Linked DNA regions of Arabidopsis thaliana. The protein of the gene in region 3 interacts with the protein of the main gene of each other region in a pairwise test. Each region holds a gene or a part of one and is shown on either strand. Other genes may lie near its edges.

Region 1 (6,454 bases), on a different chromosome or scaffold from region 3:
GGCTGCGTCGCCGACGTCAACGCGGTTTGCCCTAACGAGCTTCGGCTCATGGATCCACATACAGGAATCATCGCGGCGTGTAAAAGCGCTTGTGCGGCGTTTAATTCTGAGGAGTTCTGTTGTACCGGTGCTCACGCGACGCCGCAAACTTGTTCTCCGACGCATTACTCGGCGATGTTTAAAAGCGCTTGCCCTGGTGCTTACAGTTACGCCTACGACGACGCCACGAGCACCTTCACTTGTACCGGCTCTAACTACTTGATCTCTTTCTGCCCCACCCGGAACTAAAAAACAGGAGCTCCGGTTCAGATTTCACGTTTCTTTTGCTTAATAGCACTTTGGTTCATATTTTTCCATTTTAAAGATTTTTCTAGTACTCAGTTGTTACATTCATTTCATTGGCATTGTTGTTTTGATTTGTATCTTGTTTTATATTTTACAAAGTATTGATTTTGCATTACCTATTTTATTTGAGATCTGGAAAAACAAAGATGGAGGCTTCATTAGAGATTTTCTTTGTTTCATATCATTTTGTTCTTGATGGACCTAATTACATGAGAGAGCAATAACAACTACTAGTGTTTACCAAAAGAGAGAGAGCTAAACTATTTACCCAAACTTTTTAAGCCGCGGAATGATTAAAACATGTGACCCGCGCAGATATTTGTTAGTCTATTAAAGGAGATTTAGCTGATGCAGTTAAGGATCAGTGTTTCTGGCTTCTTTGGTCTTCCACTTGGCAAGCCTTCTTCATTCCTGTTGCAGCCTGAACGAATCCCACAATAACCTGAAGCTCATCCATTTGCTGTAAACAAGAACATGTCTCAGACTAATCCAAAATCAGAAGACAACATTCACAAACATATCATAGCTTTGATGTCTACCTGAGACATGAAGTGTCTCTGAATAATGTCAATTAGTTGCTCCTTTGTGGGATTCGGAAGAGCATCCACCTATACGAAAAAGAGATCAATGAATCACCTGTTGTAAAAAACAAAACACTCTCTTCCACAATAATCAGTAACATAAGATTGTTTCTTTTGAACTCACGAGGTTAAAATGTCGCCAATATCTCAGTAATGCAGCCATATCCAACTTGGTAAGATCAACCTTCTGCGTTAAAACAATATTCCCAAATCAGTAACACATAGCATTAACATGAAAACCCCCACCAAGTAGAAGAAATTTGAGGCCTTACCATGTTCAGACGAGGAGTAATACTCGAGATTTTTGAGTGTGAGTCACAAGAAACTTCCCTGTACAAAGCCTTTTGAGATAACCGCGATGATCTGTGTCCTCTCTTCTTCGACTTATGAGGCTTCAAAGTGTCCTCAGTTGCTGCAAAAGACAATCAAAGAACGGTCTTTATGAAACATTTCAAAAAGACTAAAATTTGGTACTTTATTGCAGAGACAAGGAACCAAACTTACTCATATCGGAGGGATGATTCCACTGTGTAGAATGGTCGACTTCAAGATCATTGTCTTCTTCGTTCCCTGTAGGATGTTCAAGAACACTAAGCGCATTCCTCTGCAACTTCACTTCAATTCCATTAGTCAAAACCTGAAAATTTAAAGCAAAAAGGACAAAGATTAAAAATTGAACTCCACAAACAAAGTAAAGTTTGGGACTTTTTGAGAAATGGGAATGGTTGGAGACAAGAAGTGGTGGAATTTGATATCGATATTAGTAAAAAAAAAAATGATGCTTTGGGTTATGAGGAAATCGTATAAGATACTGATTTTTATTGTATAGCTAGAGAAATGATCAAAAAAGGATCAAAGAAAGTAAAATTGATAATATAAAAACTAGGAAGCCTAATGAAACGGAGAACATCTATAAAAAGTTTAACATTTTTCAGTGGATGAAAATGACCAATCTGAAAAAGAAAGAACAAAAACCCTAAATATTATTAATTAAAGTATATCAAAATTAGTGACTACAAGTAAAACAAATCTAAAAGCCAGCTTGAACCCACAAAGATAAGGATTCTCAAGGAATTGATTGAGAAAAAGTAACACAAAAGTTAAAAATAAATATAAAAAGTGCAGATCGTTATGATGCAATTTAACAAAATAAAGTTATGATATTTTAAGAACAATCAATCTAATCGGTAACATAGAACAACCATTGATTTTATTGCATTATTGAGCTAATGATTCTGGATCTTTTGTTAATCAGTTTTTAAAAATCTACTCTACTGGGGGAATAAAAACACAGACAGACACAAAGATGCAAAAAAGACAAAACGAGGTAAAGAAGAAAGCGAAGTTGATCTTTGCTCACCAGCCAATGCCAACCACCGAGTCCGACGGCTTTCTTAACGACGCCTTGAAGACCGACGAGAACAGATTTGGTACGGTTGTTTCCAGTAACGACAACTTTGGTATGACGTGGCAACACTGACAATTCTTCTTCGCTACTGCAATCGCCGAAGCAACTCTGTAGCTGAGAGAATCCTCCTCCTCCTCCATTGAGGATGCTTGACTTGTTCACCGGAGCTTCCAGCATTTTGTGTTTTCTCTCTCTCTCGTTTTTTCCCTCTCTATTATCAGAAAGTACCACAAGCTTTTTTACGATCTCGGAAATGGAAGTTGGTGCATTTTGTGAAGGATTGAGAAATGGAGTAAGAGAGAAATCGAGCTGAGAAATTAGGGTTTGTTTTTGGTCTGATGAAGAAAGACAGAGTAAGAGTGAGAGAAGAAAGAGGAAAAAGCAGAGTGTATTATGATGAGTAAGAGAGAGAAAGATAGAGATACAGAGGAGGGAAGGGAAGGGACGATAGGCGATAGCGACCGCCTTCCTATCGTGACCAATAAGGTATCAACACGTGTGTTTTGTACTTGTATCATTTGCACTGTGGAAATTGAGCGGTTTTTTCATGGATGGGTACCAAAACCTTTTTTTGTTTTTTACCGAGAGCTTTTTTACTTTTTACTCTCTAATAAAGATGAATTCATTTGTTGGAAAACTTGTATTACTTTTTACTCTTTATTCACTGTATTACTTGTCTTGTCTTGGTTGTGAAGATTTAGATTTTGTAAAAACGAAATTGAAACAAAAAAGAAAGGAGTGGATACGTTTGGTTAATTTGTATGAAACATTTTGGGTACTAATTTGTATTGGAATCTGAGATTGATGCTTTTAGAGGGTTTTAAAATGATCAAAAAAGGAAAACGAGGGCCACACTTCGTAAATTTTGTGTAATGTCTACACGCGATCGACGTGAATATGAATGGTTGACTGGGTTTTTTCAAAATAAAAAAAAAGTCAGGAGTTATGGGGCCCATGCATGCGTAAGTTACGATTATACCCCTATTGTTTATTTGTTTTCGTTCCTCTCCAATGTAATTTGAATTTGAAATCACGCCTCTATTAAATATGTCATCGTATAATGTCCATATTGAACATTTAACTAAACTAAAACAATGTTCATGGAGTGATTCTTAAGCCAACATTTTTTCTTGTTCAAGACATAGCATTTTGTAAGTTTGATGGTTTAAAGTAATGTACTTATTGTCCAAAACGAGTTAGCTAGGTAACATGGAGTTAATCGGAAAAACAGAACATATTTCCAAAAAAAACATACTTAACACATAATCTACTTATTATCACAAGTAGGTTACTAGTGCCAAACCAAAGAAGAAAACCCCTAAATTCCTTTTAATGCTAGAAACGAAAGCTGGTATTAAGATTTAACTGATGATTTAAAACGTATCACCAATAATTAACACATAATCGCTCGATTAGCAACAAAGTCGTTGTAGTATAGTGGTAAGTATTCCCGCCTGTCACGCGGGTGACCCGGGTTCGATCCCCGGCAACGGCGATTACTTTAGTTTTGCCTAATTCATCGAACCCTCTGATTCATTCCAAATGTTTCCCAACTCGCGTTGATGGTTCGGGTTCCTCTGCTTTTAAGACATTAGTTACATGCTCCTGCACTTTCTACAAAATAAACGTCATAATCCAAAAATATTACATGATCATACATCATATATGCCGCCGAACCTTGTTATGGGACAAACTCGTAAACCCCTTTTTCCTTTTATGTTCAATGAACTATACAAGTTTTGGTTATGAATACATAAATAATGATGGACCCAGCAATTAATCCAAAATTTGGATATTAGATACTAAAGCTTAAAATCAACATGTAACCAAACTAAATACTTTATAGAACATAGTAAATGGTATTCACCAATCTTTATATCATTTGTAAGGTACGAAGAAGGTAAAAAAAAGAGAGAGCCAGTGTACATACAACTAATCAGGACAAAAGTAGTCAAAATTGTTTCTAAAGTGAGATTTGTATGCAAGAAAAAAGTGATAATTTTTAATTGAATATATCATTATGATGTTAATCACACGGCTTCACTGTATAAAATAAAATTTTAAAAACCAATCAAATGGTGTGTTTTTCGGTCACACAAGTAAGGGACCCACACTGAAGAAACGGTCCCACTGTGTCTCCTCCTTTCTTTTCTCTGTATTATTTGGTCATTACTCATTTTACATACTCACAGAAAAAAAAAAAGATTAGAACATAAACACACGTTACTAAGCGTAGTTATCCTCTGCACCTTAACATACACCTCTTATATTCACCTCACGTAATCTCACCCTTCCAAAACCATGTATTTACACGTGGACGATCGATACACAAGAACAATGATTCTTAATATGAACTCAATGTACTTGAACACACACACGACCCAATTTTTACATTAGATGAAAAAAATATTATTATTTGTTGGAGAAGAAAGAGAGATTCTTCTTCTTCGATTCCAGCGAAGGAAAAGCGTATTCCTCGTGAGCACTAACTTCTCACTCCTCTCTTCTTCTTCTTCATCAGTCTACGTTCACACAATCTTTCACCCACCTATTCAAAGCTCTCTCCGGAAGTTTCGAGGGGTTGGTTGTTGGTTTTCCCGATGACTTCGGATGGAGCTACGTCGACATCAGCAGCTGCAGCTGCGGCGGCGGCAGCAGCGGCGAGGAGGAAGCCGTCGTGGAGAGAAAGGGAGAATAATCGGAGGAGAGAAAGACGGAGAAGAGCTGTAGCTGCGAAGATATACACTGGGCTTAGAGCTCAAGGTGATTATAATTTGCCTAAACATTGTGATAATAATGAAGTCCTTAAAGCTCTTTGTGTTGAAGCTGGTTGGGTTGTTGAAGAAGATGGTACTACTTATCGCAAGGTGAAGACTTTCTCCATTTTTTCCAGATCTGAGCTTGTTTTATTGATGTTTTTGATGTTTGAATCTGAATTCGTTGATTTCAATTGTGGTTAAATGGGTTTGAATCTGAGAATTTGAGGGTTTTCTCAAAGTGAATTTGAATCATCAGAAACTATGGATGGATCTGATTTCTCAAAGTGAATTTATGGGTTTTCTTTCTAATTTTAGAGTTATTATTGGTATGCTAAAGTCTTAATCTTTTATGTATGATACTTGGTCCAAAGTCATTGCATTGTGTTTCTTTTGCTTACCTGTGATTGATTGATGTTTGATTGGTTATTGTTTTGCTTTTGTTGGAGTATCAGGGATGCAAGCCTTTACCTGGTGAGATAGCTGGGACTTCATCTCGAGTAACTCCATATTCATCACAGAACCAGAGCCCTCTTTCATCAGCCTTTCAAAGTCCCATCCCATCTTACCAAGTTAGCCCGTCTTCTTCATCATTCCCGAGTCCTTCTCGCGGTGAACCAAATAACAACATGTCCTCTACATTCTTCCCTTTCCTCAGAAATGGTGGCATTCCTTCTTCTCTTCCTTCCCTCAGAATCTCAAACAGTTGTCCAGTTACCCCACCGGTCTCATCGCCGACTTCTAAGAACCCGAAACCGTTGCCTAACTGGGAATCTATCGCTAAGCAATCCATGGCCATTGCTAAACAATCAATGGCGTCTTTTAATTATCCTTTCTATGCGGTTTCTGCACCTGCTAGTCCGACACATCGCCACCAGTTTCATACCCCGGCTACTATACCTGAATGTGATGAGTCTGACTCTTCCACTGTTGATTCTGGTCATTGGATAAGCTTTCAGAAGTTTGCACAACAACAGCCATTCTCTGCCTCTATGGTGCCAACCTCTCCTACCTTCAATCTTGTGAAACCTGCGCCTCAGCAGATGTCTCCAAATACTGCTGCCTTCCAAGAGATTGGTCAAAGCTCTGAGTTTAAATTTGAGAATAGCCAAGTTAAACCCTGGGAAGGAGAGAGGATACATGATGTGGGTATGGAGGATCTTGAGCTTACACTTGGAAATGGGAAGGCTCGTGGTTGACATAAACAACTAGGCAAACCCAAATGGCATGTCATTGGAATATGAGAAACTAATCCTCTTGAGTATTTTCTTCTTCGTCCAGGTATTTGGATCTTTATGGAATCTCATATGTTCTTCACTTATTATCCAAATATGCTGCCCAAAGCCTTCTCCATGGAAGCATTG
Region 2 (5,093 bases), on a different chromosome or scaffold from region 3:
AGAAGTGACGAAAAACATGTTATCCTGCGTGCCGATGAAACAAACAGCTTCAAAAATTTGTGCCAAACACAAACTTTAGCAAGTTTTTTAAATTAAAAAATCTTGTTTAAATTTGTAGTTATGTTACTGTGGCGAAACTCCGGCGGCTGTAGACAGTGGTCCAACGAGTGAAAACCCTAGCTCAAACAAATTTTCGTTTTTTTTTTTGGTCCTAGTTTGATATGTGTGCTCGGTCGCTCGATGAAGCTCATAGAGACACGAGCATTGTCTCATGCTTAAATGCGTACCATAAGCCACTTGCAAAGAATGATTGTTTCTCTGGATTCAAACATTGGGTACTAGCTAGGTACTGTTCAATGTAGAATAAATCCACCAAGTCTAGATCTGCTTCAACGTCACCCTCTTTTCTTATAAAAGAGTAGTATACATATATTATCACATAAATGTCCGCTGATGGTTGAAAGGTACTAGAAAACTTTACTCAAAGGTTTGTTTATGAAAGATTCCCGTATGTATAAAATTGGAAAAGCTGGCAACAACAGTACAACCTTCATGTATTATTGTAGGTTAATATGATGAGTACTCAAACAAAATCACCAAGTAGAGATTGAAACATATTACATGGAGATGTATAAGACTATATATATATATAGAGGTTTTTAGGATTAAAGAAGCTATATATGTATGATGATAGAGCTGAGGGATATAGTGTCATGATGATAAGTCGTGAGATGTCCAGAAAGGATTAAACTCGAAAGCCTCCACGGCGAGGGCAACCTCGGACGACATCCACTGGGATGGAGACCAATCTTCTGCTATCACCGGTTTCATGTATTCATCTTTGATGCGATCCTGATGATTCTGATGTTGGCGGAGGTTAGAGGTGGAGGAGGAGAAGCTGATGTTGGGGTGACCGAATCGGATCATGTGGGATCCCTCGTGCTCTTCGAAGTCAGATGTGTCAATGGGGAAAGTTGCATAAGCTTGATGAAGCTGGCATATGTGCTGGCCGAAGTAAGTGGTTGAGTACAATGGAGGATTGTGTTGGATCTTTTGAACCTGCTTCTTTGCTTCACAGTTCTGGTCCTTGGTGTAGGCACACTTGTAGTAACTCCTTTGGTACTCAGATTCTTTGATCTGCTTTTGTCCGTATTTCCTCCAGAGGAAGCCGTCGTGGTAGATCGGGGTTGAAGATTCGTGTCTATGGTAGTCTGAGCTCTCTGCCATAGATGTCTTTCTGCAACCACATGAGATTCATGATGGTGAGCAATCACTCAAAGATAGAACATTTTCAATTTATGAATATGATGTTTATATTCATACCTTCCCCTCTTGTGAAGTGGTTTCCTGGAGCTCTCAAGCACAGGAGAAGAGTCCTGAGGAGATGAGTTATTGGATTGATCGTCTTGGTGGTCATTAGTATCGATCAAGATGGAGAGCGCATCTGAGAAACAATGGAGGACGGACTTGGCCAAATCCTCCCTTTCCATGGACGAGTCTGACTCGGTCTGGTCCATGATGAGCAGCTGGTTGGCGCACCCATGCCCGTGAAGCAACTTCTCCATAGCCTTTTGTTGGCAAGAGTTCATCTTTTTTTGTTTTTTTTTGAGTAAATACTTATAATTATTGCTCTGTGGGTTTATTAAGTTTAGAGATGTGATCCATTGTGTCTCTCTCTCTTTAGATATATATACGAATAGGTCGAGAAGACGAGATAATGGTCTTGTTACGAAGTTTCGTACGTGTGAGAGAGTTTAGTCAATTACTATACACTCCTTCGTTAACCTCTCTATCGGATGTACTATTACGTAATTCGTATTAGCAATGTGCGGATTAATAAGTGGCCCCTCGAGAATATAAAGACAAAAAACAAACAAACAAGTAGGAGTATTACTAGTTGACTTACCCAACAACTCTTCTAATTATAAAGTTAGTTAATGAATTATGTGTAAACTCTTATCTAACAACCATGACTTCTTAGATCTCTAGTCTCTACTACTTAATTAGGTTCGCATCTCCAAATAATCAGTAATAAGTACTCCTAGAATTAGGAAAAAACCATCAAACAAGATTCCATATATCTATTTGATGTCGTCGCGTAAAATCAACTGAATAAAAAGTCCGTTTTGTTGTAAAATTGAGTAAACTCTCACAACGGTGGCGGTGAACGTATATAAGTCATGTGACACGGCACCTGAGAAGATGGAACGGCGAATAAACGGCCGTAGAAAAAGGAGGAGGCAGCCACTTTGAAAGGCGAGAGAGAGCTTCATCAAGAGTGACGTAGGGTTCGGTGACCTCATCTTACCTTGATGGCGTGACGTCATGGATAGTTGAATTATGGATGACAGATAATGCACTAATCAAATCTAATCTCATCAATCCAACGATGGATATCAACTGCTTCAAAAGTATTTCTGGTTTTGTAATATAATAAGCGTAATCCGCATGTGCTTGTTTAGATGTCTACTTATGTTTCTTTTCTTATACTAAATTAATGTCTAGATCTAGTACGTAACAGCTTCAACTTTTTATTTCTCTCTTACCCTTTTCTTCCTTTATTAGTATAAATTAGTAAAATAACCATTACACTAAGCTACATAAATCATAAATTAAAGTAGCCTTTGTTTCTGCTTCAATATCGGCGGCTCAGTTTCTTTCACCTTATTAGGTTGCGACTTTAATTTCCTCCATCACTAATATGTAACTTTAATTATACTATTGTTTACTGGACTTCCCTAAACTTGGTCGAATCCGGATTTGAGCCTCCCATTTTTATGTACGTTTAGATAATAGCTGGGATAACATGATCCCTCAAATCACGATGCTTGATGTAATTTTAAAAAAAAAATCTCGAATTCTCGCTGCTATATGTACGTGTTGGTGTTCTATACGGACCTTAAATGGTTAACTACATATATAAAGCAGCATTAATCAAATAATTCTTCAGAAATATAACCTGAGTACTTAAATATATCTTAATTATATGGCAGTAATACGCCTCATCCACTAGTTTCGGACGTTAACACGCATGTGAACTATCAACGGTGTCAGACTCCAACGGCCTTACTCTTACCCTTATTAGGTAACGTGCCCTAACGTTAAGTTTTTTTTTTCTTTCCCTAACGTTAAGCTCTCTCACGTTATAATGTTTATTGCTTAACCCTAGCTTGGATCCAATCTTCTCACCCAATATCGTCCGCTAAACGAAACTATAAAGCACTTTTCTTAACAATTAACATTTTTTTTTGTCAACGTGCAAAGTAGTATTTAGATGGTGAAGTAATAATACCTACGCTTCGTTTATATAGGTAATCACCAGTCAACAGTCGACGGTCAACCCACAAAAAAATGTAAATATAATCAAACAAATAATAAAATTGAGTTTAGTGCATAAAATGTATAAGCACGATAAAAACTATTGTAGGTAATTTTGCAAGTTTATATATACTAGGTGAGTACCAACGATACGCGTGGGTTGTTGTTTTGAAAATTGTTTAAAAACAATTATGTTTAACTATTTTTATTGCTAAATTTTGTTATTTTCTTATATGTTATTATGTAATTAATAAAATTATATTCATTTTATGTAATTATATTTGTATACTTAGATTCACTTTTGATTCAAAAATCAATTATATTTTTTTCATGTATAAATCTTCTTATCTATATACCCAAGATTCTAATCATTTTTTAACTATCATGAAATACTTATATCCTACTATATTATTTGGGAAGTACATTTTAAATGTAACCTTATTTTTTGTAAGTAATTACATAGGTATGCCATTAGAAAGAAAATTTAAAAAGTAAATTAATTCATCTCTTCAAAAATTAAAAAGTAAAATACTAATTTAATTAAAAAAAAAATACATTATTACTTTCTAAAAAAATAACCAATTAAAATCAACAAATTAGATTTGATATCTAAATTATCATATTAATTTTTTTATTAATTATTATAGTTCACCTCTCATCTTTATATGATTATAATTTTGCGAAATATCATCGTTATAAACAAATAATTAGATTTTTTTTGCATATACCATAATTTGAATTTTTAAAAATGAATATAAACTTTTCAATACATAAAAGAATATTATAACGGGTCAAAAATAGATTTAAGAAAACTTTCTACTGAGTACTGGGTCATAATTTGAATATTTATATTCAATTTCATATTTTATTTTTGAAATTCATAATTTTATATACTACAATAATTAATAACATATTAGATTTTTTATGTGTATGATGTGATTCAATTTTTAATACAAGCTGGAAAATCCTAGAATTGACAGGTTTAGATCGATATTAATATATACAAGATGGTATACTAAAGGTGAAACTCTAAAATTAACAATCAAAATACAAGTGTATAATTTTAAACACTAAACAATATAAATAATATCGACAAAACATATACAACTCGCAGTTTACTATACATTTAAAATCAAATAAAATAATATCATATATTTGTAATTATCTTTACAATAAAAGTTTTTAGTTTAACTAAAATATAAGCTTACCTGCGGTATACTGCAGGTTAAAATTATAAATAGGTAGATTACCATCACGATGTATGTACCTTCTCAGATACACACCTATCAAAAACTTAAAACCTTTCAAAATCTCTTGGTATATTCAAATTAAGATTCTTCATTCATGGAATCATTATTCCAAGGGTTTTGGGATGTCTTATGAATAATTTTGGCAGAAGAGGATGTAAAATTTTTTGAATAAAAAGTAGTCAGCAAAATATATGTTTTTTGGGGAGTTTTTAGATCATTAAATCAGAGAATAGGGCTGGCATATGAGTAACTCATTCGAGTTCGGGTAGAACCCGTTCGGGTTTGGGATTAATGGGTATATTATTTACTACCCAATAGAATAATTCTAAATATTTGGTTCTGGTTTGGGTCGGGTCCATTTGGGTTTGGGTCAGTTTGGATAAAAAGTTTCATGCCCTAAAAATACCCAAAAAATAGAAACGGGTATTTGTTTGTAGATAGAGGGTCTCCAAACAAAAAAAGCTTTTAAATTTGTTAAATTTTCATAAATTTAATTATATTTGAATATATTTTACTAAATTTTGA
Region 3 (8,900 bases):
AATACATTGTTACTCACCTGTATGCAAACAATTGCAGCTATTCTAACCTTGGAGCTTTGGGCAAAATAAGAATCCGGTACGGAGCCGTCACTGTCACTAAAATCGGAATCTGATGATATAACATCAGAACTACCAGAATCATGAGCAGATAGGCGCCGCCAGCTTGAAGACACTGGCTGCCTAGTGTTCAAATCATCCCTCTTGCGCAAGTGGGGTGGCCTATAAGGAGTATTCTTGGCATTCTTACTTACTCCAGAAATCAATGGAGAAAGCTTGACATTCAAATGCTTATCGTTGTGAACAACATCAGAAACTGATAACTGAGGTGGGCCAGTAAGTCCAAAACAGAAAAACATTCTCAATGACGCTATGAAACTTAAGACCTGCAACATTTAAAAAATCTGCTTAAACAAAGGAAAAAAGTCTGATATGGAGGTTAAACCAGAAAATCACTTATCCAAGGCTAAGAGGAGGAGCAAAGGGTATCAAGAACCCACTTACGTGATCAGAAACAGGACATTTGATATTTGTAAGGACCTCGTGCACACAGCCTAGAAGGCATGAATAAAAGCTGTAGAAAATTAAGAAATGAATATTACCTAAGAGGGCAACAAGTCTAATAGAACCCAGAAAAAAAGGAGTAAATTGTAGTCTCCACAAAACCAAAGGCATATACCTCCACATGAATCGGTCTTCGACAAGCTGGCCCTTAGATGCTAATACGTCCATTACTTTCCTTAGAACCTATATGAGAATTCACCAAGTTGAGAAACAAAGCATATGAGAGAAATGAGAGGATCGATCAGTGAAGGGGAAGATTACCTCTAGCGTGCATTGGGAGACGTCAGTAGGAAACAAAGACTCAGATAGAGAAAATGCTCTACCAAACATGTCAAAGGCAAGAGCCATGGAATCCCATAAGCGATTCTGTTGAGGCAGTTTCTTTTCCACAAGTAAAGTAGGAGAAGGGTCTTGATTTGAGAAACCATAGGATAAAACTAAATCCTGGTGTAATAAAGGAACTACGCGCACAAGAAACTTGACTAGATGAATGTTCTCCGGATGCATAGGGGCCAAACGTCTGGGAAAAGGAAGAGGAGATTACGAATAAGGTTTAAACAATGTCAGCAAGATTGTGAGAAGATATATAATAACCTTAAAGTCTCGAAGCATTGGATCACAGGTTCGATTCTGGAGAAATAGGCAGCGGAATAAGGTGAAGAAGGCATGGGTTGGCGAAGAAGAAACTCCAAGACAGAAGCAAAAGAGTGAAGAAGGAGCGGCCATGACGAAGAATTTAGTTGGAAAAGTAGACGAGCACAAACATCGTGAATCTGGATTAATAAAAAGGAGGAGAGATCCCATTAATAACAAGGAAATGATGGGAGGAGAGAAGGAGAAGACGCACCAGTTGACAAGTATGACGAGAGACAGGGATCCAGTCAGGACCATCAGCTTTGGAAACCAAATCGAGCAGGAACAAGCAATCGGAAGTGAGCTCGTGCAGTGGGAGGTGAGAGACGGCAGAGATAAGGGAATGGGATTGAGAGAAGAGTAGATCCTCGAGCAACAGAGGAACCGGCGGCGGTGGAGTGGTTGAGATTTCGTCCCTGAGAGAGAGAAACGCCGTCCGCCACCTTCCCACGCTTGACGAAGCTGCCGCCGTGAACATGTTTCAGTCTCCCGGGAAAAAACTAAGCAATCAAAAACGAGAACGACGAGAGACAGACAGAGAGACGCTTAATAGTCTTAAAGGGATTTACATTTTTTTAATTTAGAGTTAGAAATCAATTGTGTTACAGGAAAACATCTTCTCCACCCACTTCACTAGTTGATGATGTTCATTGCTGCGTTTAGCACATCAATTCTTTATTTTTTTGGGGTGGGCAGACGCAGATCTCTTCGGCCCAATCAATAAATATATAGCAAAAGGAATAGCTCGTCTTGTCATATCATATCATCATTCAGACATGCAACGAATAAATACATATCCGTGCTCAATCCTCTAAAACAGAGGAGTGCTTACAACAACAACAACTCCAGAAACTTAACTAGCAACATTTGATAGACAGAAAAAGTAGCAAGAAATTAGAAGCTCCGAGTCTTATGTTTTAGGAGGAAACGCCTGCTCCGCCCCACCCTTGTTTGTTCCTTCCTCTTCCATTTTCACACTTGCTTCCTCCACTCCCACTGGGTTTACTCCTGTAACCTGCAATCAAAACTAACCACTTTAGAAAACCACCATTCCCACCCTTTTCAGCCCTGTCCACTGCTTCATTTTACCTTAGTGCTTCCACTCTCATCCACCTCCACCTCACAACCTTTTCCACGCTCCATAATTCCTTTCAGTCCATCCTGCACGAACAACATGCCATGATAAATAAATTAATCTCGGAAGAAAAGGAGACGGCTTTAGGAATTGAGAGGCAGAGATGATTCAGCTCAGCTTGGCTAGACGGTCACACTATCTAATCAGGTCAATTGTTGGAGCTGGGAGCATACTAAATAAATAGCCTAGGCTAAATGATTTAACCGTAGCTAAAGATTCGCTACCCTCATGTGAATGTATCTCCAGCTTAAACTAACTGACTTAATGTCAGAATGAGACTCATTCTGGAATCTTTAGGTTTTGGGTCTCGGGATGAGAAAAAGTGTAATGTTATCAGAGCACATTGTGCTGTTCTGGAAAATGCTGTAAACCTAGATGAACTAATGACTTCAAATGTTTGTACCAGAAAAAGTGTCTGAGAAATCGAAACAATTAAGAGATAATGCTGTAGTACCTTGTCCTTTGTATCTGGTTCAACAGCTTCTCTTTTTACTCTGCTTGGTATAGGTTTACTGCACAATGCGATCCCACATTAAGTAAACATTACACCGCTGACTCGAACCAAAAATAAAAAGGGGAGGAAACATATATATTTCATACCGGTCATCATCAACATCCATGTCTGAATCCGGATCCCATCTTTTATCCCCATCTTCTTGGTCTTCATCAACCTATAATTTACATAGAAGGCATATTTTACAAAACTAAGATTGGTAACAACCAGAGTCATCAATCAAGGAATACTTATACATATCTAACTGGACGAACATTATTTACCAGCCCAGCTGTTTAAATTAGAAAATTCTTATTGTAACTGCAGTTACACTTAGATAAGCTCACCAAAACCCATGAGGAAATGCAAGAAAGAATGGGCAACAGAAATAAAGGAGCCAACACACTTCAAATGATTTGCTCAAGTGGCATACCTCGGGAGTCTCTGTATCAGGTGGTCTTTCCTGAAATGGTACACTTGGAGCATGCTGAAGCTTAGAGAGATTGTGGAGAAGGTCATTGCGAATCTCTTCAAGCATCTGACGAGAATTCTTATTTTCCATGTTACTTGGAGCAACGTGAAGTGTATAGTCTGGACCAAAGTATTCATAATATTCATGCTCCGGCATCTTGTCTTCAACTTCAACTCCAAGTGCAACTCCAGTCTGTCATATAAACAGTTTGTTGTAATAAATTCAAAGAAAGAGAGGCGTCACAGAGGGCTAACCTTGGTACAGAGACCAAGGAAATTTCAATGCAAAGCTAGAGCAGCATAAAATGAACAGAAGAAAGTACCTCGTAGCACCAGCAACGGGCAACATTGCGGATAGTGTAACCACCACCACCCAAGAGCAGTAGGGGAACATTGAACGATCTCATAAATTTGACGCACTCAGCATGACCTTTGATTGAAAGATTAAAGCACCCCAACCTATCACCAGACAATGAATCAGCACCACATTGCAATACCACAGCCCCTGGTCGGAAAATTTCCATAACTTTCCCCATGATGGGCTTGAATAACAGATGATAGCTCTCATCATCGATTCCATCATCCAGTGGTACATTGAGAGAATAGTACTTTCCGCTACCATAACCTATATCCTGAATGTGACCTGTACCGGGAAAGTAATCACCAAATTTATGAAACGAGACAGTCATAACCCTGTCAGTAGCATAAAATGCCTCCTCCACTCCATCCCCGTGGTGGATATCAATATCGACATAAAGAACACGCTGCAAACGAGAGAGGAAGAGTTAGAGATTCAGAAACGACATAACCATCCCTAGCATATATCAAAACGGTGCAGGTGGACAAACCTCATGCTGCTTAAGGAGCTCTAGGATAGCTAAGACGATATCATTGACGTAACAGAAGCCAGAGGCCTCGCACTTCTTAGCGTGATGGAGACCACCAGCCCAGTTGATGGCAATATCGCAGAGGCCGTGGTTAAGCTTGACAGAGCCACCAACAGATCCTCCAGCATAGGTCTGGCAAAAGGAATAAAGGCCGTCAAAGACGGGACAGTCTTCACCAACATTGAAGCGCTTAAGTTGGCGAATCTGATCTTGCTGGGTTTCAGGGGTAATGCTGCGGAGAAAAGAGACATAGTCGTCGGCGTGGAAGCGGCAGAGATCACGGTCGCGGGCAGGGAAGGGCTTGAGAACCTGCATATGCTGAAGGAGACCGTAGTGAGCGAGGAGGGCATGGGTCATGCGGATGCGATGGGGCTTCATGGGATGACCTTGGCCATAGTAGTAATTGCCGACCTCAGGGTCATAGAAATAACAAACTTTCCTCTTCACACCATCAGGTCCGGACGCCAGCGAATTGCCGCCAGTATCCATTACCTCTGCACGCACGCCGATCCATAAAAATTATATTATTAAAAAATGATAACTAAACCCTAGCCGCGGAGTAGCTGAGCCATGGACGCGTTTGAATGACAACAACAACATTTTTTTAAGTTACGAAAAAATCAAATCTAGTGTGCAGAAGAGACAGGAAGGCGAGTGAAAGATATTAAAAGACGGCGAGGCTAGACAGACGCCGGAAAATGGAATCACGCAGACAAGGAAGAGAGTCTGACTGACCTTTTTCGTAGGATCAACGGTGTGTTGTAATCACAGTCGCAGTCAAATGGTCGGAGGAGAAGCTGCGATGATCTCTCTCTCTCTCTCTGGCTTTCTTCTTCCTTCCTCCTCGCCGAGGGGAAGGGAGCTGCTCTCTGCTTTGCTTTCAGATTTTCTTTCACCTCTGACTGAAACTGTAGCCTACTTACTCTTCTCTTCCAACTTTTTCTACTTTCAGTTTATAATGGAAAGGCCCACTTTTAATCTGTTATGGTTTAAAATGAGGCCCACTTTTAATGTGTTTTAAAAATAAGGCCTATTAAGTTGCCTTTAGCCCGTTTACTTAATGGTCTTACGCAGAGTAACAAATCAATTAGGAAACAGAGCACTAGAGCAGCAGTAGGCACTAGGCAAGGCTGGTAAAACTAAACTCGTGCTGCTTTTGTCTCTGTTTAGTACAGTATATCATAAAACTGAGTAATCCACAAAATCTTGATTGAAAAGGAGATGGAGACAATATGTGCTTGGAAACTAAGACAAAATACATGTTAAATAAAGAATGGGTGTGTTAACAAGGAAGCTAGGCTACAAGTATCCAAGTAGATGGAGAAAGATACAGAAAAAGAAGAAGATAGAGAGATACAAGGTGGAAGAGGAGTGTGCATTATTGACATTTTGTGTAGGAGGAGTTGGAGCCAATACAAATGATCTGCAGAGAGGGCAAGTGAGGTGGCCACGGAGAAGCCAAGGTTCTATGCAATTGATATGGAAGAGATGAGCGCATCTGGGAAGATGGGTCACCGCATCCTCAGCCTCAAACTCCACCAGGCATATGGGGCAGCAAATTTCCTCCTCCTTTTCCTTGTCCCCAAACATCACTCCCACTAGGTTGTAACCGTCATCATCATGCGCATCCGCATCTCCACCATTCTTCTTCAACCTCCCCAAGGGAATGCACACACATGTGTAGAATACTATGGCTGCTGTGCACAAAGGCGACCGCGGAAACAACATTGAAATCATCTTTCTCCAGCTTTCTGCTTCTTTACCTCATTCCTTCCCTCTCTTTTATAGACTAATATCATCGAGTAGGGACGGCGCCGACCCCACCTCCCATCTCTTATTATATTCTTTTGTTGTTTTTCTTTAATCAAGTCAGCGATTCTCCCAACTCCAAGAAAACTCTTGGAGAGGTTATGGTCAACATACGAGATGCACATGCTTCCATCTTAAGCACTACCTGATACTTGCATTTAACAATAGTAAACAATACAAGAATCACATGACGCCAAAAGTAAACAAACAAAAGATGGCATTCATATCCAGTGTATTATTTATATATATATTAAAAGTAAGGAGTCATTCTTCCATCAAGACAGGCCTTGACTTCCGAGTTCACGAATATAATACAGCCGACCAAATCAAGTAAAGATCTCCGAGTGAATCATAAAAACTATTTTAATGTTGACTCCACGCATTTTGTATTCAATATAGCGCCAGCTTCTACAGAACAGACCTCCACGTCCCTGAGATCAGCAGTGCCTTTGGAGGATGATGTAGTTTTATGCCTGGTGTATGTAACCAATGATACTATTGTTCATATTTGTTCATGAAGTCGGCCACATTTGCAATAGACAGTCACATACATCATTGGTAATGACTGATAAGCGTCAAGCATAATTTGACACCCTATACCGCCAACACAACGCTATTCATTGAACTTGCAATCAATATTAGAATGCATGAAAACAGGGAACTACATCTACAACTACACATTTTTAAAGGACATAGGAAAAAAAAAAAAACTCGATACCTGACTCCAAGCAGAAAAAGGAAGACTCATATTGATTTTCACTTTCAAGGTTGTTATTACAAGTCAAGAAAACATCTTACTGAGACGGCATACTTAACAGCACTGCGTAAGTAAATCAGAAGGGTTTCTCGGTTGGTTTCTTCTTGAAGATGGCTTCCCAAGCCAAAGACGGAAATGGAGCCCTTTTATCCATGAACTCCTTGACAGCCTTAACATTAACGGCAAATCCTTTTTGGTTTAAGGTATCAATAGCGGACTGGGCTTGTTCAACCCCCTTTACTCTGCACAAGGCATCAACCAATTCAACGAAAGTGGGGACGTTAGGAGAGTGACCAGACTCAAGCATCTCACTACAGAAAGCAACAGCATCGTCAAGCATGTTGCAATTATACAATCCCTGAACCAACACACCGTAGCTGAAGGCATTAGGGGCAATCCCATTGTTCTGCATTTTCCTGAAAATCCTCTTAGCGTCTTCAATTTTATGAGCCTTGCAAAAGGCCTCAACGACAGCAGTGTAGATAACGACCTCAGGGATTGTACCCTTGTCACGCATCAATCCGAAAAGCTTCATGGCCTCTTGTACAAGCCCATCTTTGCAGAGGCCGTCAAGCATGGCGACGGCGTTAGGGATGAGACCTCCTTCCTTCATCTTCTTGAAGATCTCATCGGAATCCTCAGGCGGCGGTAAGGGCTCCTGCGGGTATTGTTCCGGTTTGGGGGTTTCCCGTGAATCCTGATTGACTCCAAGCTTGAACTGTTCGAGGAAGCCATCGTCAGACAGAGTAGTATCACTCTTTCCAAGGTTGTGGGCTTGTCTAGCGGGTGGTTCTCTGTGAGAGTTGGAAGATCTCTCCCCTCGCAAGGGTCTGTTGGGTAAGGGCTCTGGAGGGTTCTGCTGCTCGTCTACTTGACCATTGTCGCCCGTTGAGAGAAAGCGTGTTGCGGACATCGACGGCGTCGTAACACGAATCTGCTTCGCCATCTGCCTTGCAAAAACGACGGCTTTGGAGGAAGGCACCATCGTTATCTGCCGCTGATTCGAAAAGTTAGGGTTTTGCAGATTTTGACGGAGAGAGAAGAAGGGGAGGGTTTAGTCACGCGAGAAGGATTGAGGGATATAACAGTCATTTACTCTACAGGGGGTATAAGAAAGAAAGAAGGTCCTCACTCCTCCGTGTGGATAAGCTTCTCACTTTCAGTTCAATTGGATAGCCGGAAAGGCTCTCCTCCAAGGTAAATTCCTCTCTACTTCCTTGTTAAAGCTCGAATCATCTCTAAGTTAAGCAAAATTGGTGTGTTGTAGTGGCGTTTATATGGAGGTGACAAATACGAGCAGCATCATGTGGTTCTTCAGGGACAAAGGTTTCGATGATCCGAGTATCGACAAGATGTTGAGAAAATGCAAACAGTTGGAAAAGGCTCAAAGCGATGTGGCATCAGAAAACTGGGACTACCTGAGTAACATTGTTGGTATCCAAGAGAGAAAACTCCCTTACATCGTCTCTCGATGCCCCAAAATCCTGACTTTACGCCTCGATGAGAGACTCATCCCGATGGTCGAGTGCCTCTCCAGTCTTGGAAGGAATCCTCGGGAAGTTGCTTCCGCCATTACCAAATTTCCTCCAATACTCTCTCATAGCGTGGAGGAGAAACTCTGTCCCCTTCTTGCTTTCTTTCAAGCGTTAGGTGTGCCTGAGACTCAACTTGGCAAAATGATACTTTTTAACCCAAGGCTTATCAGCTACAGCATCGACACCAAGCTGACAGTGATCGTCAGCTTTCTTGCTAGCCTTGGCCTTGATCAAGATGGGATGATTGGCAAAGTTCTGGTGAAGAACCCATTTCTTATGGGGTACAGTGTTGATAAAAGGTTACGGCCTACCACTGAATTCTTGAAATCATCCGTTGGCCTGAGTGAGGATGGCATTAAGTCGGTGGTCATGAATTTCCCACAACTTTTGTGCAGAGACGTTAACAAGATTCTCAAACCAAATTATGATTATTTGAAGGAGTGTGGGTTTGGAGATTCCCAGATAGCAACCATGGTCACTGGTTATCCCCAAATCTTGATTAAGAGTGTTAAGAATTCACTACAGCCTAGGATCAGATTCCTCGTCCAGGTGATGGGAAGAGGCATGGATGAAGTGGCTTCTTATCCTGAATTCTTTCACCATGGATTGAAGAAGAAGG

What was found. The genes of interacting proteins can lie anywhere in the genome.
Region 1: the proteins of HD1 (region 3) and AT1G75060 interact in a two-hybrid assay, tested with the Arabidopsis thaliana proteins (one study listed by BioGRID).
Region 2: the proteins of HD1 (region 3) and WRKY62 interact in binary tests that used the Arabidopsis thaliana proteins (3 or more experiments, as listed by UniProt).

What each region holds. Positions count from the first base shown.
Region 1 is NC_003070.9:28,180,775-28,187,228, forward strand, and holds AT1G75060 (histone deacetylase complex subunit), read right to left. Parts: upstream 2,730-6,454; 5' UTR 2,512-2,729; coding exon 2,287-2,511; intron 1,564-2,286; coding exon 1,431-1,563; intron 1,339-1,430; coding exon 1,199-1,338; intron 1,114-1,198; coding exon 1,051-1,113; coding exon of another isoform or gene 1,018-1,050; exon of another isoform or gene 954-1,017; coding exon 885-953; intron 806-884; coding exon 707-805; 3' UTR 501-706; downstream 1-500. Other genes in the region: AT1G75050 (Pathogenesis-related thaumatin superfamily protein), read left to right, coding at 1-288; BZR1 (Brassinosteroid signaling positive regulator (BZR1) family protein), read left to right, coding at 4,935-5,201, 5,546-6,289.
Region 2 is NC_003076.8:350,425-355,517, forward strand, and holds WRKY62 (WRKY DNA-binding protein 62), read right to left. Parts: upstream 1,672-5,093; 5' UTR 1,590-1,671; coding exon 1,324-1,589; intron 1,238-1,323; coding exon 712-1,237; 3' UTR 501-711; downstream 1-500. UniProt on the Arabidopsis thaliana protein: Transcription factor. Interacts specifically with the W box (5'-(T)TGAC[CT]-3'), a frequently occurring elicitor-responsive cis-acting element.
Region 3 is NC_003075.7:17,894,389-17,903,288, forward strand, and holds HD1 (histone deacetylase 1), read right to left. Parts: upstream 5,122-8,900; 5' UTR 4,916-5,121; intron 4,675-4,915; 5' UTR 4,670-4,674; coding exon 4,142-4,669; intron 4,058-4,141; coding exon 3,617-4,057; intron 3,487-3,616; coding exon 3,256-3,486; intron 3,001-3,255; coding exon 2,930-3,000; intron 2,842-2,929; coding exon 2,784-2,841; intron 2,356-2,783; coding exon 2,284-2,355; coding exon of another isoform or gene 2,275-2,283; exon of another isoform or gene 2,210-2,274; coding exon 2,105-2,209; 3' UTR 1,890-2,104; downstream 1-1,889. Other genes in the region: AT4G38120 (ARM repeat superfamily protein), read right to left, coding at 18-383, 502-571, 677-744, 823-1,081, 1,156-1,334, 1,409-1,672; AT4G38140 (RING/U-box superfamily protein), read right to left, coding at 5,480-5,917; AT4G38150 (Pentatricopeptide repeat (PPR) superfamily protein), read right to left, coding at 6,823-7,731; pde191 (Mitochondrial transcription termination factor family protein), read left to right, coding at 8,024-8,900. UniProt on the Arabidopsis thaliana protein: Responsible for the deacetylation of lysine residues on the N-terminal part of the core histones (H2A, H2B, H3 and H4).